Caenorhabditis elegans: one gene and its partner. The protein of the gene in region 2 interacts with the protein of the main gene of each other region in a pairwise test. Each region holds a gene or a part of one and is shown on either strand. Other genes may lie near its edges.

Region 1 (17,779 bases), on a different chromosome or scaffold from region 2:
TTTTTCGTCGTAGCTATTCTTATTCAAATTCACACGACAACATCACAAAGAAATAGAAGTTCATCGCCATCTGGATTTTTGGATCTTCAACTTGAAAAATGTCCTCAAGTTCTCGGATGTCGTTGTGTTCGGGATTCTACAAGAAATATTCAGTGCTTTTCTATTGGTAAGAAATTAATTTTTTAAACAAATGTTTGATGTTACTTTTCAAAAGGTACTTTATTAGAAAGGGTCAAGCTGAAACGCTCCAAAATTTTTTTTTAAAGTTTAGGATAGAACCTATTTTCAGCTAGAATTTTAAATTTTCCCCAGTTCATCAGTGTATAAAAGATTAAAATAAAACTTTTCTAAAAGTGGATAAGGAAAAACACAAAAAACGTGTTCGAGAAAATCGAAAAACTGACATCCTCGGCCCCCTATTCAAATAAAAACTATTTCATTATTTACAGACGAATCAAAACTTCTTGAAATTCAAAAAATCTACGGATCAAATATTCAACGTTTGGAACTTCACAATTGGCAACATGATCAGCTTAATTTCGATATTTTCGCACCATTTCCGCAACTAGAACATATAATTCTCCGAGGTAAATCGAGAATTGCTTCTTTAAAAGTATCAAAATTTTGATTTTCAGATGGTGATTTGGAATCTCTGAATGGAACTGTAATCCATCCAACTCTCAAAGTGCTTTCTATCGAAAATTCAGAGCTGACATCGAGCTCAGAAGTTTGTCGCCTTTTGAGCATTTTCCCGAAGATTCAAAGTCTATCCCTATCGAAGAATTATTTTGAGAAATTTGAATGCGACACGAGTAATACCAAATTAAAAATTCTAGATTTGAGTCAGAATAGAGTATGTCAATTATGCAATAAAAAACAATTCAAAGAAATAATTCTAGATTTCCCACCTGGAAGTGCCAAATACCCTCAGAGTTTTGAATGTTTCACGCAATAGACTGACTTCTTTTGAAAATATTTCGACGAAGCTGACAGATTTAGGTTTGTTCGAGAAAAAAGAATAATCGCAGTTAACAATTATTTTTACAGATATTTCCTTCAATAAACTATCCTTATGGCCATCTTTCGACGATTGGAAGTTCCCGAATCTTCGTAGTTTGTCGGCAATCAAATTGGATTTGCAAACGGGATTTCAATTAGATGCTCCACTTTTAAATTCTCTTAATATTGACGGCGCATCACTAAGATACTTGAATTTTCATCAAATCCTTACGCCGAAACTCAAAAAGTTTGTGATTTTTCATTATTTGGATATTATTAATTTTTCCAAAAATTCAGGTTCTCTGCTCGATATCTAACGGAGCTTCGAAATATTGCCGGTCGTTTACCTTCTACAGTAACGGATGTGGCTTTCACTGATACAATGCTGAGAACTCTTCCAGCTGATTTTATTCCAATGTAAGACATATTTTTCGAAATTTCATAATATATTCGGGATTTTTAGGTCATCTACCAACCATATGCAAAAGGTTTCATTCGATTTCTCTACGAATCAGCTTCTTTGTGATAAATGTTTATTGCAATGGTCTCTACCAGTTTATGCACAGACAAGTATTCGAAAAGATTGCAATTTGACACGGTAAATTATCATCTGGTCGCGAAAATTTTCGGTTTTGCCGGCGAAAATACAGGTCTCGAAAAGAAAAGAGTACTGTACTTTCAAACTTTTGTTCCTGCAGAATTTTCATCGATTTTTCATAATTCTTCGCGATAATATTTATTTAAATACATGAATTTTAACAAATAATGTGAAAAACTACTGAAAAATCTATAAAACATCTATAAAAAACAAAATTTTGGCTGTACAATAATCTTTAAAGGCGCACACATTTTAGCATTAACATAAAACATTGTCGTGCCGAGGCCGGTTATTCTGGCGCAAAATATGGTGTTTGGGTAATTTTTTTTAAATCAAAATGTTTCAATTTTCAGAGAAGAAATTGAATCGGCATCTTGTAAGATTGGTGTTGTTGCTAATGATACTGGAATTCAATATGGAAAATATGAGAAACCAACAGCAATTTCTTGTTTCTCCTACGGAGTTCCATCTCCAAAAATCAGTTGGTGGAGATTTAGACCAGCAGAGAAGCTTGGATCCTATGATCCAATCACAGATGAAATCAGTTATACAAATGTTTCGGAAACGATGAAAGAAAGGTATTTTATATCAAAAATAGACTTAAATAACAGATAATTACATTTTCAGCTATGAAATTCAATCTGGCGGGTCTCTTCTAATTCGATCACCCAACCGATCACATGTTGAACGATATGTTTGTGTCGTGGAAAATGAATATGGAAAAGATTATGGAATTTATCATTTTAGGTACTTCAAATAATTAGTAAAAGAAGGAGAAATTATATCTTCAACCAAACTTTTTAAAATTTCTCAAAATACATATGATTACGGCGGTCTAAAATTTCTCCCCTAAAATATCCAGAAATGAAATAAAAACTAATCGAGACGGAAATTTAACAATTTTGGAGACTTTCAACTTTTTCTAAAATTGTCATTATTAGTCTTAAAAAAATCGGTTTTCCACCTACCATAAATTTCAATAATCGAAGGTAATAACTAAAGTTTTTAGACTCGATTATCTCGATTGGTACAGCTATGATGTGTTCAATTCAGTATTTTGGGGAGGTCTCGCCACTTCATTAATCGTTTGTCTCATATCATTCTTGCTCAATATTACATGGATTCTCACCCGAAAAAGTGCTCTTTGGTGGATTCAAAGGTACCAGATTAATTAAATTAATAAATTAATTAAATCTATGATTTTTCTAGAGCCGAACGCCTGTCACGTGTCCGAAAAATGGTTGAAGCAATGGAAAAATATCGTGTTCGTCAAATGGAGTCACTTCATGAAAAATACACGAAACGCGTTCAAATTGTTCGTGATAATTATCATCAACAAGTTGAAGCACTTCGTGTATCGTATGCATCACAACAAGAGAAATTTCAAAATTATAAAGCAGCTCAAGTGGATGCTGTACATTCACATTTGGATGCAATGAGAGATGGATATAATAATCAATTGGGTAGAGTCAGAGAATATGGATCAAAACGTGCAGAACAATTATGGGAGAGCTATGAGCGACAGGTAAAATGGGGTTTTTTTTTCAAAAAGAAAATTTATGCAAATTTCTAAATGAAAAATGTGCAGAAAAGGTTTTTGAAATCTCTGAAAAATTGGCAAAAAATTTCAAAATTTAAAAATAATTTCCAATAAAAATCGAAAATGTCCTATGTGTAAAAATCTTAATCAAAAAGAAAAATTAAAGAACGAGAATCTAAAAATCGATTTAAAAAAAAAATTACAATCAAATTCGAATTTTGTTTATCATAATAAGATGAGTTTTAAATAGTTTGGTTATTCTCTTCAAAAGTTGAAAATAATATGACCAAACTTTGGAAAAAAAGAAAAAATACATTTTTATAAATTTTTTCCAGGTGAATCGCATGCGAACCTTCAGTCTACAACATCGTCTAAAAATGATGCGCCAGTACAAAGTGAAGCAACGTTATGTTAATAAATTACTCGAATCACTGCAAGCAACATCACCAGAAGTTCAATTGGAGAATGTTAGTTTCTGGAAAACTAGATTAATTGATTTTTTTGAAATTTCAGGAAGAAAAAGTACGTGCTGCTCTAGAGATTCCTGATGATTTGGCAACTATTGATGGTTCAATGGACACTCCTTCTCGCCTCTCGCGTAGTTCATCATTCCATAGTCTTCCTGAATATGTTATTGATGAACAAGGAAACGTACGACCGGGAATTATTCCAACAAATGCGCCTTCCATTAGGTTAATGTCTCACTGTCAGTGATGAAAAACATTTCTCATCTATACTTTCAGATTCACTACCAAACCAACAACATCTTCAATATCAAACGAGGCAAGTACCTCTTCTCCGAGCTCATCAGGAGCTCATCGATCGCCAGATTCTCCACCAGAAAAGAGATAATTCTTTAAATCATTTTGTTTGTTTGTCTATAACCATTCCAAAATCGGTGCCATCATCATCCGACCTATCATTTCTTTTTGCAATTAGTCCTAAAACACTTACTTACCATCTTCAGGAATAATGTTCTCAACTAGAGCTTTGTTTTTTTCTTTTCGAGAGTGTCTTTAATATATCTTTCCAATTCAATTGTTTCATGCCAGGAAATCCATGCAAACTTCTCCCCCAATTCCCACTTTTTGTTCCAAATTTCATGTGTTCATTTATTTATTTTCATTTAATTCAAGTTTTACTGTACGCATATTCAGAGATTAAATTTTTGATTGTATTCTTTTTTCTGGCGACGATTTCTGCATCAAACATACTCGATTGTGGCATGAATGAAATTCCGGACAAGTGAGGTCATCGACACATTTGAAGACATGCTCATTCTGATAGAAACAATGTCGATTCACACATTTATGATTGCTATCACAGTTCCGATCGGTCAAGCATTGTCCACGTGTGGATGCTGATGATATCAGCGGAACGAGGAGAAGAAGCTGAAAACTTCAAAATAATAAGAAATTTGTTATCATACCTCTCACTCACCAAAAATAGAATTTTGAGGAATTGAGTCATAGAATTGAAAAGTGCCAGATAATCAATATCACCTGACGAGAGCTCTTATCAGTTGATCGACACTTTAGAAAAAAAGAAAAAAATATATTACAACAATAGAGACATTTTTCCGAATGAGAGATTCTCTCGGTGAGAAATTTGATGAATTTAAAAATTGTGTTAGCTCAATTTTAAAATCTCCCCAAAAATTTAAGAATCAAATTTGCTACTTGATCTTGAAGCGAACGAAATAATCCAGCTACAGTACTCAAGAGTACGATATTTCGCAATTCGGCCTCTGAAGACTACTGTAGCCACACGTTTTTTCATGAACTTATGAGTTCTTATTGTTTTTATATCAGTTTTTCGATGAATCATCATATTTTTATGACAAAATATGAAAAAAATGTTATCTATAAAAATTCCAACGTACAAAAGTTTGGGATTACAGTAGTCTTTGAGGCGCACAAAATTTTGCACTTAAGAAAAATTGTCGTTTCGAGGCCGGTGCCGTATTTTCGGCATAAAAATCGCTAAATTTTTGCGTCTGGGTGATATAGAAAAGAAAAAGCAATTTCCGCGGGTACTGTAAGTGAAACTTTTTATTCGTTTCAGGACGTCAGGTCTCTACTTTAATTAACTGAAACTTTGAAATTTGAAGTACACCTTGGCGTCTTACGGTAACCTTATTAGTTGAAACATAATTGTTGAAAGATTTATTATGCACAAGAATTATGAAAAAAAAAGAAGAAACAAGAAAATAATTCACCATCGAAATGGGATACACATATTGATAATACACTGATTTCCAGAAGGACAATCCAATTGACTGTCACACCTTCGGAATAAATACGGGAATAGCTGGAAACGTTTCGCATTTAAACATTTTCCATCGTAACAAGCGGTTTCCGATGAGCAGTCCGTGTCAATAGAGCATCTTTGGATTAATGGAAGATATGGAATATTATCCGGAGTAGTTGGGATTTCATCGAATTCTTTGGATTTTTGTAGAACTGCTTCTAGTGGTAGCTTATCATCAATTTCTTCTTTTGGAGACTCTTCGGATGATGGAATGTGAATTTCCGATTCAGTTTCATTATGTGATTCTTCAGAGGAAGTTATGTTGACTTCAGTTTCAGCAAGAGAAAATGTGAAGAACACTACGAGAAGTAACTGCAATTATGTTTCGAAATTATTATTATCGAACATTTTAGAACTCGTATTTAAAGGCGCATGGATTTATTCAGATGGGTCTCACCAGGAGAAAATTTGAATGGTTTGTAACGATTTTGTAACGATTATCAGCTTTTTGAAAATTCGATACTGTAAACTTTTTCGCGAAAACCATCAAAACTACAAATAAGCTTCATGAACTTGTTTCAAAACTCTCAAGTAGACGTTTCAGAAAAGTGGAAACTTTAATTTAATTTTGGAAAATTGATAAGTTAGGCACCACAGTAAAATTTTTAAACTTACCCATAATGCATTCATGGCTTCTAGACCAACAAAGTATTGTCTTTTTGGTAGATTCGAGAAAAGTTGAAAATTGGAAAACCCGGGAAAAAACAGAAAAGAAATGATGCGTGTCAGAGGGCGGAGAACAGGAATGAATAGACAGGCAACTGAAGAGAGAAAAAAACGATAAATTTTGTTATCGCTTGGAGAATATTTTTAAGAGAGCGTGCTGTTCTTTCAGGAGTCAGTTTCAAAAAAATGTGGGAAAACATGTGATAAAATGGTTTAAAAGATTCTCGATGCTTCTAACCGGGTGATTCAACAGTTCTATTGGAAGAAATAAAGAAGAATTAAATGGAGGATGAACATTTATTCAGTATACTTTTTTACGTAGACATTTTTTAGAAGTACAATAAAAAAGGGTTTGATTGTGATGAATTTTTTGATTATTTGTCAATTATTTCAAGATGACTCTTAAATGTGCAATGGTCCGACAGCTTCCTCATTTTCTGTTCTTTTTTGTTGTTCTTCTCTCAGGGTGTCAGCGAAGATTTTCATCTTCTTCTCCTCAACAGCTTTGCGACAAAAAAGTCTTTGAATCGCCACTGAAAATATGAAAATTGTGACAAATGACAAATATTAGAACATACAGAAAACTAGCATGAAGTTGTAGTAGTAGACAAACCAGATAATCGAAATGTCATTATATTTGTTGTCCTTGAATCCCATTCTGCATATTCAAAATTTAACATTTGTTAAAACAATTGAAAAATTGTTTCAAACCTCATTGTTACTATGTCAGTAGGTATGACTTTGCCAGTAGGACATTCATTATGAATCCGCAAAAGATATGCAGATGTAAGTGTCTATGTAATACCTATCCTATACTTGCCTGCATACGTATCAGCCTCATGTCTGCTACGTACCTCTCCTGCCTACCAATGCCAACCAAAGGCCTATCTACGATTCCTGCTCCCTTTTATTTCAAGTATCCGAAGGCAGGCGTAGGCCTGGATGATATGCAGACATTTTAATATTTATGTTAGGCTATTGTGGAAATTCTCAAAAATTTTTTTAATCTCCAGAAATTCTCAAAACTACCCGTTTTTTCCACAAAACTCAAACTATCGATTCTGATGAAAATTGTTAATTAGGAGATCATAGCTGTTTTTGCAAAAAACATTGGAAAAACCTTACATTCCCAAATTATGGAACTCCTCAATGAACTCCATTGTATTGTTTGCATGTGACGTCTGAATGTTAGCAACTGCGTAGATCGGAGTGAAGAAGAGACGTGGTGCGGCACAGATAATGCACAAAGTCTAAAAGCGGGTCTCTTGAACAAGAAGAAAAGTTACAAAACTCACCACAAACTTCTTCCATCCCTTTCCGTCTGCCTCACAGAAAAATGCGATTGATAGAAGGAATGCAATAGAAACGGTAATTCCAGAAAAGATATATCCTGCTGCGCGAATAAACCAAGCACTGAAGAAGATGTACCATATGGTAGAGACACTGATCCATGCGTAGCAGATTTGATGGAATCGGAGGGAGAACTAAAACCTTTGGATATAGAAATCTTTGTGGATATTCACTTACATTTAATTGTTTCTGAAGTGGCTTCCTCACGGCTGTTTTGTCCAGCAACTCCAATATTTCGAATGTCATAGTTTCGACCTGAGGAATAGGAAATCAGAAAGGTGATGAGCATTTTGAACGGTGGTGCAGTACTGATAGATAATACAATTATTGTTCATCGAAACTATTTTTGATTTACAAACTACAACCACCGACAGCATTTTTCAGCTGGCACAATTTGACACAAACTACAGGAAGTATATTTCTAGATAATTCTTAAAACTACAAAAAATCATAACAAAAACCTCAAAAATGAGAAAATACAATGAGCGGCATCTCGAGACGAGGAGAATGCATTTCTGACTGAAAACGCGTTATCCCTATGGCAACAGTAGTAGGGGTGATCACAAGCTGAGCAAAAAGTGTAGCAAGCAGCCATACGAAGAATGAAAATAATGAACGCAAATCACGAGTTGCGCAAGTTATTTGAGTATATTGAAGACAAAAACAGAATGGCAACATTTGTAATTACAACATACTTCTTTCAAATAAAAAAAAATGCTTGAGAACATGCGATAGGTAAATATGAAGGCACGAAGGTAGGGGGTGTGCACAAAGTAGGAGTGAGGTAGCCAGGACGGGAAGATCTCGAAGCATTTATGAAGTAGGCATAACCAGGTAGACCGTTGGTAAACTTGATCAAGTTGCGTGACAGGGATGAAGCGTAGGCGAGTGGGCACGTAGGTGAGCATTGAATAGACCATAACCTTTTCTCATTTAATTTCTGTGTTTCCTTGGGAAAAATCTAGCCCCCAACTTGAAGTATATGCATTTCATGTTCAAGAGCAAACGGTACTTGAAATAATTTTTGAGATTACACTTCAGGATTACATCTAGAATTTTCGAAACATTTTTGAATTTTTCTCAATTTGTTTAAATCCTATTTTTGTTGCATTCCGGTGGGTACTCCGTTGTTTACTTTTCAATAAATTGCTTACTTAAAACATTTTGTGGAACATGAAACAAAAAATTGCAAAAAGAATGAAAAAACTGTTCTCGTGTAGTTTGACTGTAAGCACTCGAGGTAGGCGTACGTATCGTTGTCAGTTTTCAGTCTTGCCTACAACTAATTTTTCCACTGGAACCGTCTAGAATACGATTCAGTATTCAAGTAAAAGTGATAACTAATCTAAAACTGAAAATCCAGATATTCTATCGTGGCGTGTCGGGGCGCGGCCCAACCACAAGTGCCCTACCTTGGGTGCAAATGTCGTCAATTTACAAAATGCCTGTTATACACTTTTGTGTTTTTCCTTTAATTTTGCATATTTTGCATTCCCTTTTCCGAGCTATTTTCTGGACGTGAATCGCACCTATCCCTATGAAATTACTGGTCTATACCTCTTTTTCTGTTCTTCAATCTTTAAAAGCCGTGTATGACGATGTGCTGCTTCAAAAAGTAATGAACACTGATGTCAATCGAATGTGCACTCGGAATTTCTGTCTCGCCTCGGTTTTCCAATTACTAAGATTGCAGGAGCATTTACTGCTGCTCTTTACTTGCCCTTTTCTTCATCCAAAACTACAACTACATATCACAAGACATGTCAACAATCACCAGCCAAAAAGGGATAAGATTATTAACTGAGAGACGAGGGGATAATTCCCTCATACTAACTCTCACTCTTCACTCTCTCTGCTCTTCTCCTCATTTGTCTTCTTTTTTTGATATTGGTTGTGGTTTTTTGTCACCGAATAATAAGAATGCTATGAATACATCTCACAATTCATTTTTCTTTTTCTTGCTTCTCTTCCTTTTTTCGTTCTTTTTGCCGTTTGCCATGTGAGAGTAATAGGCTGTGAATGGGCCAGAAGGACACTGCACAAAGTAGTCAGTCATCACAGGCTTTTGTTTATGATGAAAGAGAGACATTGAGAAGAGGAAAAAGAGAAGATGGAAGAAAAAGGCACAAGAAGTATTCAACTACATGCACCAGAGACCCTTCTCTTCTTTCAACTATATGCTTTCAATATCCATCTCATTTTTATGATCATCATAACTTTTGTGCTCCACGTTCGGTTTTAACTTTGCCCAGTTTTAAATTACGTTCCTCTTGCCTTCCAGTTTTAGAAATTCAGAAGCTCTATAGATGTAGGACTCTCATAAGCCACAAATATCGTACCTCTTCAGAAAACCTTAAAAATTTCCGAAATATTGTTATTTGAAGAACACATGTTTCAAGACATGAAATTTGAAAAACGCCAGAAATTCCGTTTTACCAGAAATTGAATTTATCAATTAGCTTTGAATTTATCGATTTGTTACTTTCAAAAAGCCAAGATTTTGTACACCTAGATTCGAAATTTTGCGATTTTCGACGAGGAAATACGGTACTTTGCGTTTAAAAAAACGTAAAATTCTTTGGATAATAGTAATTCAAACCTAAAACCTAAATAAATTTTAGATGTTTCAAAACTTTCAGTCAACTTTTTGGTAAATTGCCAAATTCTAAGAAAATGTGGGCTTTCCCAGCAATTTTGAGCATAAATGTAAATCTAATTTCTAGAAAGTTGTTAGTTTTTTTAATCCGAAAAAAAACTCGTAGAAATAATTTGTTCATTTTTAATAGAGAATCCTCCAAAATTATGATAAGGACTGATATTTTTTGACAGTGAACAATAAAATTTCAATTAAAAAAATTATATATCTATGATAATTTGGCATTTTGGCGAGAATAGTTTCTATCAATTTGTTTAACTAGCAAAATACGACCAGTTTGAAAATTTCATTAAGACAATCCAGATACTCTTGAAATAGATATTCTGGGAATAGTTTCATTTGAAAATAAACGGTATCCTTTAAACGATCAAGGCCGTTACTTATAACTTATAAAATTATATTTTACAAATAGTTATCTGCAAGTATCTACCCATTGACATCCTTATTTAACTCATTTCTTCTTTTTTCTTCTTACAATAATAATAATGTGTTCAGGATGGTCACAGTGATACCAAAAATAATAAGTTCTCCATATCCTCGGACACGCCTACCACTGTACCTCTACACTGTTTCCATCGTAAGAATTACCAATCAATAGAAAATTCAAGTTTACACCTATAATTCTAGATTATTTCCTGCTCTTTATTATACTGGAATCTTCTTTACTGCAAAAATTATGACTGTGTCGTTGAGAAGGAATTTCGATGGGGAAGTACTCGGCACTTACTACAGGTATCATACAATTTGGTACCATAAAGAAATGACATAACTTTCAGTACTTTCCGGTGATAGCAGCTCCGATTATAATGGTAATATCGTTTTCTTGGTTAATAATTGCAATATATTATTCAAGTAGTTCATGTGTTCTTACATTCAATTTTATGGTAAGTTTTATAGGAAGGAGGAATAAAATAAATATTGAAATTAAAGGAAATGCCATCTGCAGTACTTTGTTCTCTACTTGGTGGTATTAGTTCTGTAATAGAAATTCATTTTTCCATTGAAGTAAATCAAGTTCAATGGACTGATCAGTGGTTACTGTCATCTGTGGGTTTACCAATCAACGATTGTTTAAAAATCGATATTTTCAGGGATCTTCAATACTTTTATGCCTTTTACATGCTACAATTGCGTTCACACTTCAATAATCCTTCCAACATATTTGAATTTCCAATCTTCTTCAAATCGATGTGAAAAAACTTGTATCATTGTTTTTATCAAATATGAAACATTTTATAGGAATCAAAAATATTATGTGAACTGTGATATTTACTCTTGCTCAATTCATTTCATGTAAATATTATTTTGATACTCATTACTGGCATAAATTATATTTTCGAAATTCATGTCACGAGCGCGGATGATGAGGGACAATTCGAATTAATTCTCTTTTTCTCAACAAAAACAATTAAATTTTGAACCTCCCTCCGTTTTCTTTGAAAATGGCCTAGAATTGTGATGGCCGTGGACTAGCATTTTCCCTAGCACGACGGCGGGAATTGTCTGCGTCATCTTCGTCTTGCACGCTCTCTCGTTACCCCCCGCTGTGGTTATTATACCGTTTACCACCTTAATCCCTTCAAAACGCTTTTATAATTTCACATAATCTCTTCTTAGAAATCTCAATCGTTTATTCAGATGGGAAATCGATCAAAGACAGACAATGCAACTGCCGTGGCATCGCAACCACCCAAAAAAGTTAAATCGTAAGTTTTCTTTCCTATTTTCAAAACTAATATATCTGAAATCATCAACATTTTTAGGAAAAAGCAAAAGAAAATGAGCTTTTCACAAGCACAAGACGTATATCTTCGTCTGAAGCAAGAAAAAGAAGAGGAGAAACAACGAGAGCGAGCCGAACGAGAAAAGCGAAATGAGACGATTGCAGCGACAAATAAATCAAGAAAGAAGATGAATCAGGCATTGGCAAAAAGAAATAAAAAAGGACAACCAAATCTGAATGCTCAAATGGATGTACTTCTCGAGAGGATACAGAAAAGAGTGGATAAGGAGAAAAAGGAGAAGAAATGAACTAATTGTTTTGTCTTTTATATTTTCAGATTTTTTTTGTTGAAATGAAATTGTTGTGTTTTTAAAAATCGATAGTTTTATCGTTTCTTCGTTTCTTACCGATAGTATACTTTATTTTCTGAAATATAATTCAATTATTTATTAAAAACCTTTTCAGCCTTCAGATGGCTTCCGATGAAAATATCGGTGCCGACGGTGAACAGAAGCCTTCTCGGCCGTTTTTGAGAAAAGGACAAGGAACAGCAAGATTTAGAATGGTAGTTTGTGCAAATACAAGGCTTATCGAAATAATATATGAAGTTCAGCCTAGAAACAACAAAACATCTGCTGGTGCACCTCCAACGTCGGAACTTTCATCTGCTTCAAGTCCTTCTATTAATGTTCCTAGGTTTAGTCTGTCGGTAAGTAAAATATCTTAAATACAAACGTTATAAAACTGTGGTGACTAGTTAAATATAAATATTAAGTAGAATTATTCCAGAATGCTCTCCCGAACTCTGCCCGAACCGTGGACAGTGGAATATCAAATGAAGACGAGACCCGTCCACCAACCACCGCATCTCTTCCAATGGATCAACCATCATTGTCATCTTCGCCGGAAAATCGTCTAAATCCCGCACCTTCCGTTGCTGAAGAGCATGGCCACAGTGGACAGCACGCTGAAGAAGAAGAAGACAATGACACGGATGAAGTATCTGCAATGCCTTCTTTTGTGCCTGATGAACCTTCGACTCTTGTTAATTCAGATCATGAATTGTCTGATGATGCTTTAAAGTATAAAAATGCAGCTGCCGAATTCAAAGCTTTTGAGAGAAGAATGGATTCGGTAAGAACAGCCAAATCAGAATGATAATTGAAATTTTACATAGAATAGATTTACGTATCAAAAATCAAAACCTACGAATACTCTCTAATTCAAAATTTAATTAATTAAAATTAAAGATGAGATCAGCTTCAACAATCACAACATCACTGGCAACGCCATCATCTTGTGCACCATCAAACTCCTCTGAGCCTCCTACTCGGTCTACACCAATTATGAACGATTTAGGCGTTGGCCCAAATAATCACAATTGGCCGTCTTCAATGCAAGAATTATCAGGAATTTCTCTGGAAACACCACAGGCTCGACCGCTTGGCAGCAATAGAATTAATCAGCTTGGTAGGTTAATAACAAAAAAAACATGATTGATTAGATTTTTAGTTCGAAGTGAGGCTCAAACGGGAATAAGCCTTTTACAACACCATGAAAGACCTACTGTGACCGCCCCATTGAGACGAAATGATATGATGAACTCATCACGACAGAATCCACAGAATGGAAATGTTCAAGATGAAAATCGACCCGAGCACGTTTATGATCAACCAATACATGTTCCTGGATCATCACTGGACCGACAGAAACTTGAAATTGAAATTCGACGTCATCGTAACTTGAACATACAACTGAGAGACACTATTGCTCACTTGGATTATGCAGAAGAATCCGTGCACACCACAAAACGACAGCTCGAAGAAAAAATTTCCGAAGTCAATAATTTTAAGAAAGAACTGATAGAAGAATTTAAGAAATGCAAAAAAGGAGTTGAGGAAGAATTTGAGAAGAAGTTTGAGAAAATTAAGGAAGATTATGATGAACTTTACGAGAAATTGAAGAGGGATCAACGAGATCTTGAACGAGATCAGAAGATATTGAAGAAAGGAACGGGAGAAAGGAATAAAGAATTCACAGAAACGGTAATTAAGAATTTAAGCAAGAAATAGTTATTCGAGAAAAACCACGAAATTTCGATTGAAAATTTTTCTCAAAGCAAAATCTAAAATTTTCATTGAAATAAATTGAGAATTTAAAAAGTTGAAATTCTATTATAAAACCTTTAATTTAAAATCCAGCAAAACTTGTCAAATTTCAGATAGCCACTCTCCGCGACAAATTAAGAGCATCAGAAACCAAGAATGCACAATATCGACAGGATATACGTGTTCGAGACGAAAAGCTCAAGAAAAAAGACGAGGAAATCGAGAAGCTTCAGAAAGACGGAAACCGGCTAAAGAGCACTCTACAGACTTTAGAAAAGCGCGTAAAACAATTACGTACTGAAAAAGAACGCGACGATAAAGAAAAGGAGATGTTCGCGAAGGTTGCAATGAATCGAAAAACTTCGAATCCAGTGCCACCAGTTTTGAATCAAAGTGTTCCAATTTCGATAACATCAAATGGTCCATCTAGACATCCATCATCATCTTCGTTGACAACATTTAGAAAACCATCTACATCAAATCGAGAAAGAGGTGTTAGTTGGGCAGATGAACCAAATGAACAATCATTGGAAGCTGTACCACAGGAGTTTTTGATGGTAATATTTAGATCAAAGCAGGGTTTTTTTAAAATTGTTTTTAGAATATTGCTCTGAAAAAATCAATTCAAAAAAAATTTCAAATTATTTTTTCTTCCCGACTAAAAAATTAATATTTTTGAAAAATAGTTTTTTAAGTCTAAAAATTTACAGCTTACTATTAGCATTTGCCGAAAGTTCCGATTTTTCAAAATTCCCAGAATTAAAAATCAATAGTTTTCGAGTTACCGAAAATTGTCAAAAAAAAATTTTAAATCATGCTTTTTGAAGATGCCAGTCAAAGAAATGCCGGGAAAATTTGGAAAATGCACGATCTACAGAGATTCTCTTGGAGAAACATCTAAAGTGACGGATACAATAGCTAACGGTCTTCTTTTCGAATATTCCAATGGAGATCTTCGATGGGTTAATCGGCAGAACGCTGTTAATGTAAGTTTTAATTGGAATTTTGTCAATTAAAGTGACCAATTTACAGATCTACATATCCGCAGTTGATAAAACAGTCAGAATTGATCTCCCCACATACAATATTTCAATTATTCATACATTTCAAAGGCAAGTTGAAGTACTTCGTCCTGGAAATAACATAACATTGATAAGTATTAAACGACGAGAAGTTCGAACTGATTTGATTTATCAAAACGGAATGTATAAAACTGAAATGTAAGATTATTTTCTTTTTTAAAGTTCATCGGAAATTTCGTATTTCAGCTTCAATAGGGACGGAAGATATGTTACGAAGGATTTTAGCAATCAAGAAGTTTCGAGAAAGTGAGTCTCTATTCATTTTCCAATTAATTATTCAGAAAAACCATTAAAATCTCAAAACTATTACCCAGATGTTTAATTTAATTTAATTTAATTTATTACGATAGAAGATATCGTTAGGTAGAAAAAAAAACACACACACATTAATAGATACAAACCATCACAAGTGGTTACATAAATAAATTACATAAATAAAACGAAACAAAAATAAAAAAAGAGATGTGACATTTTGCGGCAAAAAATGTCTCGGCACGATAAAATTTAGTTAAATGGGAAAAGGCGTGCGCCTTTAAATATTACTGTAGTTTAAAAATCGCGTTACTGTCGAATTGTTGTTTGCCCCTTTTTTTTTTGATAAAAACATGTTTATTAGTTTAGAAAAAAGATAAATAAACCAAACTACAACAGTCTTTATAGGCGCACGTATTTTCACATTTAAAAATCTGTCCTTTAACGAAAAAATTGTAAAATTTGGCGCCTTCAAAGAGTACTGTAATTTCAAACTCAATTTGAAACAGAATTTTCATCGATTTTCCTTAGTTAGTTTTTCGATGAATTTTAATTTATTCATTAAAAAAACTCAAATAAGTATAACGATATTTTAGCAAATAATATATTTTCAAACAAAACATGTTTCTATAATTTTTGTCTAACCCAAAATTTAGGAATATGACCTCAATTCTTCAAAAAGTTAGTAAAACAGGTTTAAAACCCCGTTATAAATATTTTTGCCTCTGAAACCTATCAAATTTTCAGATACAATCCCGGTACACACACATATCGCGACAATCAATGTCGCTACGTTCTCGTCACTGATTACAACGATTTTGAGCTCGTTGAGCCAGAATTCCGTCTTCGTTGGTATCAGGGAGATCCGACTGGTCTCAACAATCAGTATATTCTCAAGATCATTGGACGACCTGAATGCAGCGAGAAAACATTGAGACTTGAAGTGAATCTTTCCACGTGTGAAGGTACATTGGAAACTGCAGAGATGATAGGCGATAAACGTCGGAAAACAACTTTGTTCCAGTGGAAAAAATGAGAAATTCCAACCCCTTTATTTTAACTTGTGGTTTGTATATCTATTCCATTGACATTATTTTTCACTCCTGAGTGCTCTAAAATTATAATTAATTCTACCTCCTGTAAAATCATATCAAATAATTCAATCATTTTTTACTATCTCAATTTTCACTTGCCCCCTCCCCCATTTCTTTCATATTGATCTTCATGGTTATTTTATTGACTGTTATAAACAATTTTAACTTTAAATGTTCTGCACAAAATTCGGGATTCAGATTGCAAAGATTTATTGGAACACTGGAGACATTTCAAGATGATCTCGGATCTTCTGCACGACTCGACGGACTCAAACTTTGAACATTTTCGTGTGAGATTTTCTTTTCTTTTTCCGCACTTTTCTTCTCTTTCTTCTCCTCACCACTTCCATCTTTCTTCTGATCATCTACATCCAGGAGCAGCATCTTGTGACGTGTAATCTTTAGATCACTGAGACGAGTTTTCGAATCGCCGACTTCAAGAGGAGCCTACAATCATCCTTATCTTTTTATATTCAGAATATCAAAAAACTAACCGGGTCACCTCGACCAGAAAACTCGCCTTCGCCTTCTTCACTCGATGATTTCTGAGTTCTCAGAGTAATCATATGGGTCTTACCGCTGACACCAAGAAGCGTGTAGAGTCGAGCCATCAGATCGTCTGAACGATATAATTGTTTAAAAATCTTAGATTCTTAAGCTTACGATAAGTGGCATCCGTTGGAAGGCTGACAACGACTGGCTTTGAAAGGTACAAAAAGTACCAAAGACGTTGATCCGGAACCTTCTTATGTCGACGAGTCCTTCCACTTTTTGATTTGTTCACAGATCCTTTCCGAGTAGCACGAGTACTTCCTCGAATCTTTCCACGTTCAGCTCCATTATTCGACAATTCTCCAGTATGCTCAGCAATTTGTTGCGGTGAGACTTCACGCGTAAAAGCATTTGACGGAGATGTCGAAGTGGCACAAGACGAGTGGTTTTCTGAAAGATTGAACTCTTTTTATCAGATTTCTGATCAATTTCTGTTACCTTTTGGCTGAAGTGGACTACACACCAGACAGTAGAAGTGCCCACAATCAAAACGATCCAAATTGTTTAACCCAATGATTAACTGGAATAATTGGTTTGATCTTTCAAAAACCTGCATTTTGTAAAACAATCTTACTTTCTTGCATGCATCACATTGTAATGAAAAATCCATTTCATCTCCGACCTGAAAAATATTAATTTTCAATATATCCAGATTTTAAAGTGAAAGCCGCCCAGAATTCATGCACAAATAAATATACCTCGCCACAGCAGGTTACTGTAGCTCGTGTAGATCTATGGACCGCTAAATATCTTTTTCCAATGAAGCGCCAAGATTTTTTTCAAATAAAAATATTATGCAATAGCGACCCAGAATTGACAAGTTACAGTATTTCGTTGTTCGCGCGGCGA
Region 2 (15,731 bases):
CACAGCTTCATCGTCACCCCCCTTCATCATCGATTTCTGTGTATCGTTCGTTGCAAGTGCTACCTATCATCTATCTCCGCTTCGCTGACCCACTTCGCCCCGTCCGTTTTCACCCCAACATCCTCTCCTTTGCAGTACTAGTGGCACAGCGTGTCATCCTCCTTTTATCGCCTAGTTTTGATCTACTCGATACTTTCATTAGTCTTCGTGCGCCGTCCACAACTCTTCCAACCGAATTCCAGGATCTTGGGTTCTGCGCCACGTTGACAACACAAATGGAACAACTCAAATGCCACGTCAAACAGTATGCGTGGGGAAAATATGGTGAGGAGAGCGAGGTGGCGAGACTATTTGCAGACGGTCATGAAAGTTTCCAAATTGATCAGAAGACACCATATGCTGAGGTAAGTATTTTTAATTAAAAAAAACACTTTTTCCTATATATCTTGCACCCTCATTGTTCTATGGCTAATTCCTGGTCACGTCATTAATTTCCAGCAACATTCATTACATTGGCCTGATCTAGATATCTTGCCAAAGTGGCAGCTAGAAAATCTCCGAAAATTCTGAATAAAAACGGAATAAGAAAAAAGTATTTTGTGTCAGATGGAAAACTGGAATAGGAGATTGATTCAAACATAAACGAACAATAAATAGTTCGTATAGTTTTCAATCTTAAAAAAGTAATTTGAATAGAATTCAAGAATAAAACAATATCGAATCGGAATCGTTTTCCTGAACAGAGTTCAAAATACACTTTGACAATAAGCATTATTTATTCATTACTATAACAATTCGTAAAAACTAGGAAATCGTATGTAAGTGCCAGATTAAAAAATAGCTCACATCTTCATACATTTTGGTAAGTTTCCACTCCACCGCCTTGTAGGTCCCGTGGGAGAAAGGCTGCGATTTTTGTGTTATTTCACCCATCTTATCAAATAATTGAATATCAAATATCATGCGAAACTATGTTCTTGGGGTTTGAGTCCCCGATGTAAATTTAATTTTATTCTGACTTCACTCAATCCTATTTCCTGGTATTCCCTTTGCCTCACTCCGTGTTTCCTTATATTCATTCATTAATCCATATTTCTTAATACTTTACTAAACCCAATATTGGCTAGAAAATTGAAATTTATATGAAATGTTACCTGGGAATATGACACAGGTAAACTATATGCTCACATAGGAACAATTTAAAATAAATACCTAGGGAGGGTTCATGGTAAATATGTATATACATACCTCTGAAAAGCTTTACATTCTTTTTTGAATACAGTTATTTTATTGGAGCCGATAATCATTGGTCTGAACCATTTAAAAAAGTGCAAACTTTTTTAATCTCTGTTGATCTCTGCTGCAGGAAAAAGTGACAAAACCGAATCTTCTGTAGATAAAGAAGTGTTTGGAAAACCTGATTGGTGATGGTTTTTTGAACCGATGTTGTTCTTGAACACAGTGATCAGACAGAGAAACCATGATTCGTAGCCTAGTAATTTAACGTTTTGTAGCTATGGATGGGAACCCACCCCGATGGACCAGCTCAGCTCAAGAAATGCTCCACCAAACTGTCGACGTACTTGGCAAAGAACCCATCTCCATTGACAAACAACAATTCGGCAAAGAACATTCATTTGCCATTTATCATGAAGGTGATGTCGATCAGAACCACCTTGTCACTACAAGTTCATCCAACCAAAGTATGTAATGAATTATAGCAGTTGGTTACCACGAGAGTTTTTATAGGAACAAGCTCGCCGATTGCATGAGAAAGACCCTATTCACTATCCTGATAGGAATCACAAACCAGAGCTGGCCTACGCACTTACCCGTTTCGAACTTCTTTGCGGATTCCGGCCAGCTAGAGAGATTTTGCAGAACCTTCAGAGTAAGTTGAACACACTAAGGTTTTAGTTTCAACGTCTTGTTAAAGTTTAAAAAAAAGTATAAACTTGGATCAAAAGTTGGCAGTGTTTGGGCAAAAATTTGTTCCAAGCCGCGCTGGCAAACGCTAGTCCAATTTTTTCTAATGTTTTTCTCAATCTTTTCCTGAGTTGTTTGGAATTTGGGTAAAATATTATATCAGCTCGGCCAACATTTGTGATAGACCCGAAAAAAGCCTTGTTCAGCCTTTACAATGCCTTTTCAACATCTGAACAAGATTTGCGTTTTCAAACATAACAATTAAGTAAGAAGAAGAACCCGAGAAACTCAATTATCTAGTCACATATTGGTTATTCCAGCCTTCCCATCATTCCGGTTACTTTTCGGAGGAGACACGTATGCTAAACCACTCGAAGATTGCATTCAACAAATGAAGGATCTGAACTCAGTTGACCAGAAATCTACAGAATTTAAAGACTCGAGAAAATATTTGGAGGACTGCTTTAGATTTATGATGGTTCCAGAAAGAAATGATGTTCATGTGGGTGTTTTTTTAATGATTTAATATTTTAAATTCAAACAATTTTTATGTTTGAATCGAAAATCGCAATTAACGTTTTTCGAGCATCCTATTTAAATTTCAATGATTCTTAATTACTAAACCCCATTTTTGAAAACCACGATTTCTGTTTTGTTTTTTTTAAAATCTATTTTATTCGGTATTTTCAATGTTTTCGCGTGAGGGAAAAACGATACATAAGGATTTTTAAATGATTACAAACTAGATAACTAATTAAGTTATCAGTGCTACACCAACCAAACTGGCAAGCAAATTGTGAAGCAATTTTTTTTTATAATGTTTGCGTATTAATAAATTTAAATACTGCTTGATTTTGATATAAACTTTCAAAACACTTTGGCAACCTGTTTGCAAATCCTTTCAAAGTTTTGTATTTCATTTTCTAACTTAAACTTTAAATTTCCAGGACCTGATTGCAAAGCTTCTTTCCGAACTTGACAATGGGCTTCGTGGTGCAGTTGAAGAAGTAACAGTAGGAGTGATTCGAAAAATGTCGGTTGATTTTCCAAATGATATTGGAATCTTCTCCCCACTTTTCCTCAATCACATGATTCTCGAACCAGGACAATGTTGTTATTATGCTGCTGAAGAACTTCATGCCTATCTCAGTGGTGAATGTGTTGAATGCGTGGGATGTTCAAACAATACGATTCGGGCCGCCATGACTCCAAAATACATTGACAGAGATGCTCTTTGCAGTGTTCTTAACTACAAGATGACAGAGCAAAAAGATTATTTGGTGCCAGAGAACAAGTTGACTGAATGTGTTGATATGTATGCACCAGATTGTAAAGATTTCCAACTTCATAGAATACGAGTAGGAACACATCAGACTGTTGAAGAAATGATGATTCCAACTCTTGATTGCGCATCCATCTTTGTAGTTGTCAGCGGAAAAGGTACACTAGAAGAGGCGACAATTGACAATCAGCTGATTGGACAGTATGAAGTTAAAAGAGGAGATATCTTCTATATTCCACCAAAGCATAATATCAGGTAAGTACGACTATATCTAAACTTTTATAAATTATTTGATATTAAATGTGGTCTCCTTCCTAGAAGTATTCATTATTAGCCATATTCTTTTGTCTTGAAATGTATTTTCTCTCATTCTTAAAAGTTTTTGCCAGTATCCAATTCGTTTTATTCTAAAGATTAAGAAAGGAACGACACGAAACTAATTAGAAACTTCCTGTTCAACAACTACTTTCAAATGTTTTATTTTTAGATTCTCAAGCTGCTCGGAACCATTAGAAGGATACAGGACGTTTAGTTACGAAATGGGACCAGATCATGACACACGGCTCGTCACTCCAGTTCAAAATGCGGTGCCTACGATTACTGAGAAAATGTTCAAATTAGATGCAGATATGGAAGAAGCGATCACCGCTGTTGTTTAATCTCTTTGTTTTGCATTTAATTTCAAATATTTTTCACTGTTTGAGCACTGATAATATTCTAAAGATATCATCCGTGTGCCGAATTACGGGGTAATACCAACACTTTTTTCAATGGAAAGTACAGTATCTTTTTGTAGTTTTTTTCATTATTTTTCTGTATGTCACTCTGTTCTCATTTCTAAAATGCTTCCTTTGTTTAAAAGGCGTTTTTTCTTCAATTTCTTCATTCCAATTGGCTTTTACCATTCATTCCTATGCTCCTCCACCAATCGCTCCGATCTACAATGCCATGAGAGTTCGTGGCTGCCGCTTTTTGCGCCTCGATCTACCCGAATCTTCTAGTTTTCGACACTTTTACCTTACCTTTTTTCCCCAATTTTCCCATTCGTTTCACCCCAGTCTCTCTTTCTCTTTATGATTTTTTTTGCAATTATTTTCTTCATGCTATCAGTTGTGCAAATTTATCTAGTTGTTTTTATTTTGAACATTGCCCAGAATAAATTTCACAATCAAAAAAAATTTTTTTTTGCTCTTCGTTCTACATTTAAATTTTTATATGATGTCGAAAAAAATGCAAACATGTATTTTTACATTTTTTTGACTTATTCAAATTTGTCAAAAATTTAAAATTAATGTTTTTAGATAGTTGGACTCTTTTAGATAAGATAGTTGGACTCTTTTTAAGGAAAATGTATTTTATAACGTGTAGAACTGTAGTCAATCATAAACTGGGAGCTGAAAAAATGAGAAATTAGACAACACCAGCTATATAAAGAAATGCTAGCAAAATTGCAAAAGTTTAGCAAATTGCGACCACCAAGACGAGAGCCGCAGTTAGGATAATAATTCTATAATGTTGGTGTCGCCACAGCGAAATTTGCGATTTGCAAAATTCATCTAAAAATTGGAGACAATGAGTTTTTTAACGACAAAACACCTGTGTTAGCAGGAAGTTGCTCTCAAATGCTCCAATTCTGAAAGTCACCAAAAAAGTGACGTTTTGTATCGACAACACGTAATTTGATTTGGTTGAGGAACAGTCGACTATATTGTGTAAAGGATCTCTCCAATAGATTTCGATTTCAAAATTCTGCAAGATATATGTTTATTCGTTTGGGTATGTGTGCATGCATATCGTCACAATATCAAAAAACTGTTTAAGAATTGTTTGGGAGTAAAAAGATAAATACAACCAACAACTATTATAATTTGACGTATTATGGGAACACAAACTTCTGGGAATGCGCATTGGGCAACATATTTGCCGCGCAAAATATCTTGTAGCGAACACTACAGTAACTCTATAAATTACTACTGTAGCGCTTGTATCGATTTACGGGCTCGATTTCGGAAGTGAGTTAAAATAATTTATTTATTGATAGAATATTAAAATTAAGCAAAAAATGAGAAAATGATACGAAGAAACAAATGGAAAATGGAATATCACTGTCACTTTTCGAAATTAAATTCATTTCGAAGATCGAAATCCCGTAAATCGACACAAGAGCTACAGTAGTCATTTAAAGAATTAAGTACTGTAGTTTCGAGATACTTTGCGCGTTGAATGAGTTTCGCAATACGCGTTCTCAAAATTTTATTTTCCGTAATGTGTGTTGTTTTTTTATTTTCCTTTGTTTCTTCTACTAAATTTGTATTTATTTACTTTTTATAGAAAAAGAACGGTTTTTGCTTATTTATTTTTCATTCAAAACCCCGTGTTTTATCCCATTTTTGACTGACTAAACTGATTTTTTTTCTGCAGTTTTCCAGTCTCCAATTTCGCTTTTTTTTTCAGAAAGCTTTTAAAGTTCCCTATACGCCAAAATATATAAAAAATCTGTTCAACAAGATTTCCGTAAATATTTCGTAGCGAAAACCACAGAATCGGCACACAGCGCTACAGTAGCCATTTAAAGACTTACTGTATTTAGTTTCCGCTACGAGATATTTTGCGCGTCAAATATGTTGCCCAATACGCATTCTCAGAATTTTGTGTTTCCGTAAAACTTCAACTAGTACACTTTTTTAATTGCCATTTGTGTGATGGAAAACAATTTCAACCGGTCTATCAGTTTTTATTCTGTCTACCAAAAACTATTATACATACATACAAAATCACTGTTTTTCAATTAGACTTCAAATTGAATATCAGTCTTCGGAAGTGCTCCACGAAGCTTCTCCTGAACTTTCTCCTTCCCGTGAACACTCTTTAAATTGCGAAGTACAAGCTTATCAAGAGCCGAGAATTTGGTTAGATGCTCCAATCCGAATTCGGTGATACGACGGCATTCTTCAATGTGAAGAGTTTTCAGGTGACCTCCTACATGATTTCCCATGTATTCAAGACCAAAATCATGAAGATTCTTACATTTGATGAAGTAGACACTTTTGATTCCTGTCAAGCCTTCTGAAATAAATATTTATTCGTTTTCTTTGCAACAAATTATAAATAATTTACCAAAATGACGACAACCAAATCCAGTAACACTTGCATTGACAGCTCTGATTGTTTCCAGAGTGACATTATCCTGTGAAAGTCTCGGATCCAATTGTGCAGTTCTTTTCACCAAACAATTATAATCCTCAAACGTCTCAGCGATCTGATTGAACTTGATACTTCCACCACATCTCACAATCCATTCAGCTGCAGCACGATCTGCACCCACCTCCTTCACTCTTTGAACATCATAGCTGCAAGAGATCTGTGTTAATCTGGTCTTAATAAGTGCATTCAGCCACGGTTCTTCGGTTTTGTACTTTTGCAAATTTTTGCAGAAAACGAGAAAAGAATGCGATAAACCGAAAGCGATTAGTTCAGTTTTTAAACCAAAAAATCAAATCACACTATTCTGAACATTACGGTCATTTTCCAATTTTATTAGCAATTTATCTATATTCGGGGACTTATTTTTGAACAATTATATTCTGTTTGCAGAAAAGTGACTCTAGGTGCTACATCTTTTATTATAAATCCTGGCGGCCTAAAACTTTAATTTATATTATAGATCAAACCCAAAAATGCCTGATGGCACCTGTATCGGCTAGACCCGCTCAGAAAAATAGCATGTCCCTTTAAACTGAAGTGCCAAATTTTCGCGAAATTAGTCAAGTACTGCTGTAACCGGATACTGAACTTGGAAAAAGGGTTTAAAACGCAAAAAAAACAATTTTGAAATTTTTAGTTTTTGACCCGAAACAGTTGTGCCTGGTCTTGACACGAAAATTAGTTGGCAATTTTTACAGTTTTTGTATATTTTTATTCTCAGTGAAAATCTGAAAAGCGAACATTTTTGATTTTTTGGTTCTTCCGTAAAATGAAATTTCGAAAAAATGTTTCAAAAATTAACAAAAAAAAGCGTTTTGAAATTAAATTTGTTATTGTATTGTATTGTAAAATGTTAATGAGAGAAAAAATAATTATTTTCTAAAATGGCAAAAATTGTAGGCGCTTTTTTTGAAACCGTATTTTTGAGTCTGTAAATTCGCGACTATTCTAAAATTTCAACGTGATCCATTTTTGGCATTTTTCGTTTTTATTTTAATAATATTAGAAAAAAACCAACTTGTTGAATCCCTCCAGAACCCAACGGAGTCCGGGAATATTGTGTTGTCCCAGGGCTTGGGTAAACTTTTCTTGTATTTTACGTATGCTCATCTGAATTTCATATAATTTTTTGTTGAATAAATTATTATCAATTCAAGAAAAAAATACATTGTCCCATAAAAAATCAGGGAATCGACTTCAAATAAAAAAATCAACACATTATAAAACAGAGATCATATTCATTTTACACAGAAGATTATTGCCAAAAGAATTTTGAGATTTCAAAACGATTTTCATAAATATATAACACTTTTTAAAGAAATTAATCTATATATGGGCGAGGTGACCAGTCCTTATCGTGATTAGCCTTCCAATCTTCATTATTTTCATTCAATCGTGGAACATCATGACGTAACATGAATTCTCGAACTTTCCAACGAAGTGATAAACGACGCATTTCACCTGGAGCCGGATGACGATCCCATTCAGATCTGCAAGAAAACAAAAATGTTATAAAAATAAATGTTGAAGACTTTTTTCAGTATAATTTTGCAAAAAAAAAATTTTAAGTGCAAAATCACTTCGAAAATTGGTCGCGTTACCGTTTTAAAAAAATATTGCAAAAAATATTGTTTTTTTTAGAAATTTATATACTTTCTTAATATTTTTTTGTTTTTCAAAAATTCATATTTTTTATTCCGTGATTATTTTCACTCGAGAATCGCTCGCCCACTATGGGGGAGTCTACGCAAGGACAACGCAAGGACAAGGACAACATTCTAATGGAATGGAAACAATTGCCCGACTGCACCAATTCTAGTTCAAGCGAACAATGATAACTTTTGTATTCTGTATTCCTTCACGTCTCCCAGCGAGCGTAATAAATTATTATTATTATTATTATTATTTTTTGAAAATATTTTGATTTTTTCAAAAATGTATATAATTTTTTAAAGATTTGAATTTTCCACAAATTTATCCATTTTTTAAAACATATTTTTGTTTTTTTTCCAAATTTTAATTTTTTTTTACTTTTTTTAGATTTTTTAAAAATTGGCATATTTTTGAAAATGTAAAAAAAAACTTTTTAATCTTTTTTTTTTTGGAAATACGATTTTATCAAAATATTTGATTTTTATTCTATTTCATTCAGTCTATATTGTTGGAAATATTTTAATTATTTCGAAAACTTTTTTTTTCCAATATTTTCTTTCTTTTCAAAAATTGGCATTTTTGATACTTTGATTTTTTCAATAATGCCAATACTTTTTAAAGTATTTTAATTTTTTCTAAATCAAAATTATAAATAAAACGTTCTTCCATCGCTACTACACAGTCACGACACTCTCAAACTGAATAAAATGAATTACTTGTAGAAATGATATCTTGTGACCGGATCATATTTTTTTGGTGCTCTTCCTGGTTCAAGTGACAACACATTCCGAGTCCAAACTTCTTTTTCCGGTCGTGAAGATTTTTGAAGCTCTGATTGTTCAGTTTCAGTGCTTAACCCCACGGAAACTGATTCAGCGATATTTTCCTCATCATCCACACTTGATCGTTCTTGTATGTCGCTGCCATCCAGTGATATTGATTTAAGAGTCTGAAAAAATATTTAAAACTTATTTTTTATAAAATAAAATGCACAAACATCTGAATCTTGACGTTCGGTTGGCTCACAGGATTCAATTTTATTATTTTTAGACTTTTTGAACATTTTCCAGCTTAATCTATGGAAAAAATCTTGAATGGAAGTCAGCATTTTTCAACAAAAAAAAAAACGAAAAAGTCAAAACCTCTGTGGCACCATTGCATGTTTCCATTGCACGATGTATGCTTCGCCACGCTCGATCGACCAGAAGGTTTCTCTCAGGATACTCGTTTGAGCTTTCATCGTCGAAATCGCTTTGTAACTCTACATTTTCGTAGATAAACCGTTTTCCTTGTCTTTCTGAAAAAAAATCACAGATTAATTGAAGAAAATCTTAAAACTTAACTCACTTCTAGAAACAATTGGGGACTGAATATTCAGATTTTCGGTTGGAAAATTTCGTTCTTGTCGTATGAATTGAGCGGCTGGATCAACTGATAATGAAGCAAATAGAGATTCATTCATAACGTCTTCATCGGCATCTGACAGACAAAGCTCTCGGTCGAGTAGATTATCAATTTCTGAAGAATACGATCTTTTATATTGGATTTAAATATTTTAGGAAAAAAAACTAACCATTCTTGAAAGTTGCAAATTGGTTTTTGTCATGTATATGGTGACCCATTTGATGAAGAATATCTTCGAGCTCGTTTTCAGTGGTAAAATTTGCCATTTTTCCTTGAAGCCAAATGCTCGATGAAGCGTGTTTTATGAACAAGGAGGAAATGACGTACACGTTAAACTACCCGTAACGTTTTGAAAATATTTTTGAGATTGTCACAATGATCTGATCAGTCACAAGATGGTGGGGTTTTTCTGTAACAACAAACAATATTGTTCGTGCAAAAAAAAAACAAATAAAAAACAAAAAAGCAAACGTGCTCTATTGAACGCCAGAAAGCGCGCCAGGTTCAAATCTTAAAAAAATAGCGCGCGCGGTGCCATTGCAAAACAGTGCGCCCAGATTGCCAAACATGACTCCGCCCATCATTCTCCTTGTTAAAAACTTTTCCGAATTTTCTAATTTTATCCCGAAAAATTAAATTTAAAATAACTTTTTTATTAAAATTCAATAATTAATGATAATGACGGGTTTTCAGGTACATGAGCGATAACCATGCTTTTGGGCGGCCGATTCAAGAAGATGGACGAGGAATTGTCGAAACTATGAGAACAGAATCCGCCGCCATTTCCAATAATTTTAATGCGGTGAATAGCGGTAAGTCTCTAAAAGCAGAAAAATTGACCAAAATTAGCTATTATTTCAGTTAACAAATCTGTTGTACAACATCTTGATGAGCTTTCACAAAGTTTCGATGAGATTTTCACTTCAACAGACCACTCCGATGTAACTCTTGTTCTCGACGATGGAACTGAATTTGCTGCCCATCGTTTGATCTTGGCTGTGAGAAGTAGCTTTTTTCGAGCTATGCTCTATACAGGTTTTCAAGAAAGCCATCAACAGCTTGTGACTCTTCAGGAAACGAATTCAGTAGCCTTCCGAGCTGTTCTTCGGTACATGTACACATCGAAAATCGATTTTGCCGGAGTGGAACTGGATATTTTGCTAGAATATCTCAGTCTGGCACATCGTTATGATTTAATTCAGCTTATGACAGCAATAAGCGAATATTTCAAGGAAATTTTGAAGAATGAGAACTTGTGTAGTATTTTCAATGCTGCATACTTCTTTCAATTCACTGATCTTATAGATTATTGCATGCAATATTCTGATAAACATGCAGATCAGCTTCTCGAAGATCCCAGCTTCAACCGATTATCAGGAGATAGTCTGAAGGAGCTTCTTGCGAGAGATTCATTTTTTGCATTAGAATTGAAGATCTTCAATGCGGTACGTTCATGGCATCAGAATAATCCAACAATGAAAGAAGCATCAAAAGTTTTGCTGGAATTGGTCAGACTTCCCCTTATAACACAAACCGAACTTCTTAATTGTGTAAGACCAACTGGGTTGGTGTCAGCTGATACTCTTCTGGATGCTATAGAAGTTCAAACACAAAGACCACACGAGATTCCATTCAGAGGATGCAAAAGTGAGTTGAATTTTATTTATTTTCTGTTTAATCTATTCCATTTTATAGGCCTCGACACGAATATAATTCCACACTATCCACACGCACAGCCATTGTCACGAGAGCTCAGCAGTCGCTACACTAATGACGAGAATATTAGTGTATTTCAAATTGATCTCGGAAAACCATTCATTATCAATACAATTATGATGGATTTTAACTGGAAAAATGAAGTTCAAGCATTTACATACCAAGTTCACGTTAGTATGGATAATCGAGTTGATGCTCATTGGAATCTAGTTGCTGATTACTCGGAATATGATTGTCGAGGAACACAAAGACTCTTCTTCACAGATTCTGTTGTGCGGTAAGTGATTGATTTTATTGTAAAATCCATTGCATTAATAGTAGAAATTCAAAAACATTTCGGCGGTTTTGGAACTAACGGGCGAAGTTTAATTGATCTATTTTTTATTCATTTTCCGAAACATTTAAAACTTTCGAAAAAAAACTACAGCGCCTATAGTAATTTTCTACAGAAAACCCGTGAAACTCGAAAATTATTCACCATAATTTGCATTTCAGGCATATTTTGATCCGAGTCAACAATTCAATGTCGTGTAAACTGGAAGGAAGTCGAATCGAAGCCATGTTCTCTACCGAAACAATGCCTGTCGAACCTGTGCACAAAGTCATAGGTATCACATTTTGCTGTGGAAATGTAATATAATTTCAATTTTCTCAGTTCCTCATCGAAACATCACAACGATAGAAAATCACGCACGGGTTGTTGAAGGAGTTTCTCGATGTCGGAATGCTCTTATCAACGGGGATTCCTCATCCTACGACTGGGATACTGGATACACGTGTCATCAAATTGGAAGTGGTCTCATCATGATTCAACTTGCTCAGCCCTACATTATATCTTCAATGCGAATTTTGTTATGGAATTGTGATGATCGATTCTACTCGTATTATGTTGCCGTATCGAAGAATCAAGACGAATGGGTTACGATTGTCGACCGCACCAATGAAGAATGTCATGGATGGCAAGAACTCATATTTGATCCTCTTCCAGTTGTGTATATTCGACTTGTTGGTACCCGGAATTCCATAAACGAAGTCTTTCACGTTGTACATCTCGAGGCTCCCTCAAACGTTCCAATTGCCATAAAATAAAACCGGGTTACAGAAATATATATAATGCATTATTTCACTTAAATGTCTGATGAAAAATAAGTTATTAAATTTATTGAATAAAAATGTTAATAATTTCTTTTGAAAAAAAACCACATACACGGACGCCACACACCGAAAATAAATTTATTTTTTTATTTTCTTTATTCTTGAAATTCTAACCGTTTTTTTCAGATTTTTGAGAGGGATGGCGAAGCGAGAACTGAGGAAAAGTCTCAAATCAGAGATAGAAAACCTATTCAAATCACCAGAACAAGCAGAACATGAATTTCAATGTAAGGGGAATAAATAAAAAAATAAATTCCAGGAAAAGAAATTAATTTCAGGTGCAACAAAAAGACGTCGATTAACAAGCTCTGAAAAACCAACCAAGTCTCCTAGTACAAGTAGTGATGATCCATCCAAGCCAAAATTAGAGTTAAGGCTGTCCCGACTAGGTGATGGCCATCGATTAGACTGCGAAAGTAATAATCCACTTTAAAATCCACAATTTTCGCATAGTTTTCCAGCTCTGGCTCAGTTTATTCACTTCAGCATATTTGGATCATCACTCCAAAAGCCCAGATGGGTCAGTCTATCCCATCATAGAAATGTCCTTCAGAACCTAGTGGTTCGTGTCAATGTGGATGACGATTTTTTCGTAAGGGATTGCATTGAAAACCTAAATCGCTGAAATCATTACAGACGACAACGAATCTAAGCTTTCTTAGTGAATTCTTTGAAAAGCAATGGATAGAGTTGGATTCAGATGTCAGTGATCGTGGATTGTTCTGGAACAGCATTATGCAAGTCCGGCTTACTATTCAGGAACAGATTCGGAGAAAGTCTGTCATAATGCAAAAAACTTATGATAGAGACGGAAAACACGATAAATCGCATTTTGTGCTCACAACTGAACAATTGGCTCAACGACGCTACCCATTTCCTGGTGAAGAAGGTGTTGTACCCACTAAACAAGGGTAAATTAGCGATATTACTTGTTTTCAGTGCAGATTAAGTTTTATTTAAAATTTCAGATATAAAAAAATATCAGCTTCATCTCCAATGTTTTCTGTTGACTGTGAGATGTGTGAAACAGACGTTGCGAATCGAGAACTTACACGAATATCGATAGTGGATGAATTCGAGAATACGATTCTAGATACTCTTGTGAAACCAGAAGGTCGAATCACAGATTATGTGACGCGATGGTCTGGAATTACACCGGATATGATGGAAGGAGTAACGACGACTCTTGGAGATGTTCAAAAAGCTATTCAGAGCTTGTTACCGCCGGATGCAATTCTTGTTGGACACTCATTAGAGCACGATCTACAGGTATTCGAATTTTCAGTTTATTTCCTATTTTATTGAAACCAATTACAGGCAATGAAAATGACACATCCATTTTGTCTCGACGTTGGTCATGTTCTCAACTATACGAATAGCAACACAGAATTCCGAAATAGTCTCAAAAATTTGACGGAACTCTTTCTCGGAGCACAAATTCAATCAGAATTCGGTCATTGCTCGTATGAAGATGCGTGGGCAGCGATGCGCCTCGCTCAGCTGAAACTCGAAAAAGGATTGATGTTCGGGAACGTGAGCTTCGGATGGAAATATTCTGAATACGCAAAAAACAATGGAGCAGTTGAGAAGAAAATTGTCACGGCTGCTGAAATCACATCAAAACCGTGTACTGATTGCTCTCAGCCAACAGTTGTTGCTTGCACAGTTGCCAATTGCAGATGCAGATTTGTATCGACTCCTTCGAAATGTGTGCATTGTGTGAAGATCGGGATAAGTGCCCAAGGAGATTTTCATTGGCAGGATACACTTGATGTGGATCATGAAAAGAAAGCATCTCCAATCGGGAATTATTTGAAAAAGGATAAAATGAAATCTGTGATGTGTGCTTTCGATACTGCTATTCTCGACTGTCCTCCCATATCAAAAAAGTAAGATATTTAAAAATAATAAAGTTTAAGTACCTAATTTATTTCAGGGTCCGCTCAAAACTTCATTCCTCTTTTCCCTCCTATAATGGATTCGTCAACAGTGTAGCTTCTGAAATGCTCAATGACAGTGTAATCCTCGTGGAGATTGACAAAGAAAAAATAGAACCATTGGAAGAAACTGATTCAGAGCAAGGAGAAGTTCCTGACAACGCGGAGGCACTGAATCGGATTCTTGAAAAACTGGTTGCCGCCACGGCTAAAAACTCACTGATTATGATGATCTTGTCTAATTCCACTAAAAACGTGCTCTATGTAAGAGTCAAATAATCTTTTTTTTTAATATTAAGTTTCTCATAAAATGAATAACAAATAAAATTTGGTTTAATTTAAACTTCAATTTCCAACAAAACAACAACATTGATAACAAAGAAACGAAACAGTGAAATCATAAAATTTACTTGGCGGCTTTACTGAGCTTTGCCTTCTTTTTCAGCTTTTCCAAATCGATCGGCGCGTCGTTCGGTCGCTTCTTGTTCTGTTTTTCTCGCGGAGCTTCCTCTTTTGCTTGATACACTTTCAACTTTTGCTTCTGTTTTTCCACAGTCTTCACCGCCGATGCTTCCAATTTCGCTCTGAAAATTTCATAAATTTATTAAATTCCGTTACGATTTTTGAATTAAGAATACTTACCTCTTTTTGTTCATCTTTCTTTCGTTCTCGCGAATAAAATATTCTCCGCTTTCAATCTGCTTGTCAATCTTGCTCATAACTGGAGCCGGTGGGAACGGAGTGAACTCCTTCTTGGGCTTCATCTTGTAAGCCTTCTTCTTCTTTGCTTCCTTTGTTGTAGTTGCAGATTGAACCTTCTTTCGGTAGTTTGGAAGATAAGCATCCCAGTTTGCATCTTTCAATTCATCATTTTTAGATAATTCCCTTTTGATCATCATAGTTTTAATATTGTAGATTGGGTGAATATTTTTCATACAATCAGTGACGATTTGACTGAAATTTTTTATGATTTCAAAGAGAGTCAGAATATATTTTCAACTCACTTGATTTGTTTCAGTCCAGCAAGCGGTCCAACAGCACAAACAGTTCCTCCTTGAACACAAACATAGCACTGTGTCAGCAATTCGAGAGCTTTCAAGGTAGCACCATCGTTTCCAATTAGCCGAGCTCTACGCTTCACAAATCGTTCTTTATTGCGAACCATTGAAGAGATTTTGATAATCTCGCAATAGATTTCATCTTCGAGAACACGAATCGCTTGTTCATAAGGCACACTACGGGATAGAAGCTTGATGACCTCGCGAGCCTTCATGATTATATAAGGATCCCAAGTTTTACGAGTAGTTCGGACACACATTGTTCCCTCGAGGAGATCCAAATCTGCTTTCAGGAAATGCTCTCCTAGAGCTTTTTCGATGAGTGGCCAACTTTCTTTAATATACTTTTCGCGATATTTGGGGAATAATGAAGAAAATGATGACTCTTGGAGTAGA

What was found.
Region 1: the proteins of hyls-1 (region 2) and sas-4 interact in a two-hybrid assay, tested with the Caenorhabditis elegans proteins (one study listed by BioGRID).

Annotation. Positions count from the first base shown.
Region 1 is NC_003281.10:8,313,117-8,330,895, reverse strand, and holds sas-4 (Spindle assembly abnormal protein 4), read left to right. Parts: upstream 1-12,307; 5' UTR 12,308-12,314; coding exon 12,315-12,407; intron 12,408-12,455; coding exon 12,456-12,551; intron 12,552-12,631; coding exon 12,632-12,976; intron 12,977-13,092; coding exon 13,093-13,312; intron 13,313-13,354; coding exon 13,355-13,887; intron 13,888-14,063; coding exon 14,064-14,507; intron 14,508-14,777; coding exon 14,778-14,936; intron 14,937-14,982; coding exon 14,983-15,170; intron 15,171-15,218; coding exon 15,219-15,278; intron 15,279-16,031; coding exon 16,032-16,320; 3' UTR 16,321-16,547; downstream 16,548-17,779. Other genes in the region: iglr-2 (Immunoglobulin domain and leucine-rich repeat-containing protein 2), read left to right, coding at 1-166, 450-587, 636-853, 900-999, 1,048-1,246, 1,297-1,416, 1,463-1,597, 1,951-2,175 and 6 more; ZC262.13 (FIP (Fungus-Induced Protein) Related), read right to left, coding at 4,298-4,528, 4,578-4,607; F10E9.12 (DUF7107 domain-containing protein), read right to left, coding at 5,352-5,759, 6,063-6,077; F10E9.1 (uncharacterized protein), read right to left, coding at 6,516-6,646, 6,692-6,771, 7,239-7,363, 7,409-7,597, 7,641-7,709; F10E9.10 (uncharacterized protein), read left to right, coding at 10,616-10,696, 10,747-10,851, 10,896-11,003, 11,050-11,166, 11,211-11,267; F10E9.11 (rRNA-processing protein FYV7), read left to right, coding at 11,758-11,825, 11,883-12,150; F10E9.2 (uncharacterized protein), read right to left, coding at 16,610-16,825, 16,873-16,997, 17,042-17,320, 17,369-17,450, 17,505-17,552. UniProt on the Caenorhabditis elegans protein: Required for centrosome duplication. Plays a central role in determining centrosome size.
Region 2 is NC_003283.11:7,231,562-7,247,292, reverse strand, and holds hyls-1 (Centriolar and ciliogenesis-associated protein hyls-1), read right to left. Parts: upstream 9,913-15,731; 5' UTR 9,736-9,912; coding exon 9,639-9,735; intron 9,584-9,638; coding exon 9,413-9,583; intron 9,363-9,412; coding exon 9,208-9,362; coding exon of another isoform or gene 9,142-9,207; exon of another isoform or gene 9,015-9,141; coding exon 8,782-9,014; intron 7,903-8,781; coding exon 7,734-7,902; 3' UTR 7,634-7,733; downstream 1-7,633. Other genes in the region: C05C8.7 (mannose-6-phosphate isomerase), read left to right, coding at 276-404, 1,515-1,703, 1,750-1,891, 2,247-2,428, 2,874-3,463, 3,696-3,867; C05C8.1 (ATP synthase subunit s, mitochondrial), read right to left, coding at 5,997-6,274, 6,326-6,558, 7,431-7,522; hpo-9 (BTB/POZ domain-containing protein 9), read left to right, coding at 10,167-10,281, 10,331-11,116, 11,165-11,462, 11,681-11,793, 11,841-12,274; C05C8.5 (Exonuclease domain-containing protein), read left to right, coding at 12,480-12,567, 12,619-12,756, 12,802-12,932, 12,977-13,251, 13,309-13,609, 13,658-14,229, 14,277-14,556; krr-1 (KRR1 small subunit processome component), read right to left, coding at 14,684-14,861, 14,920-15,231, 15,282-15,731. UniProt on the Caenorhabditis elegans protein: Plays an important role in ciliogenesis.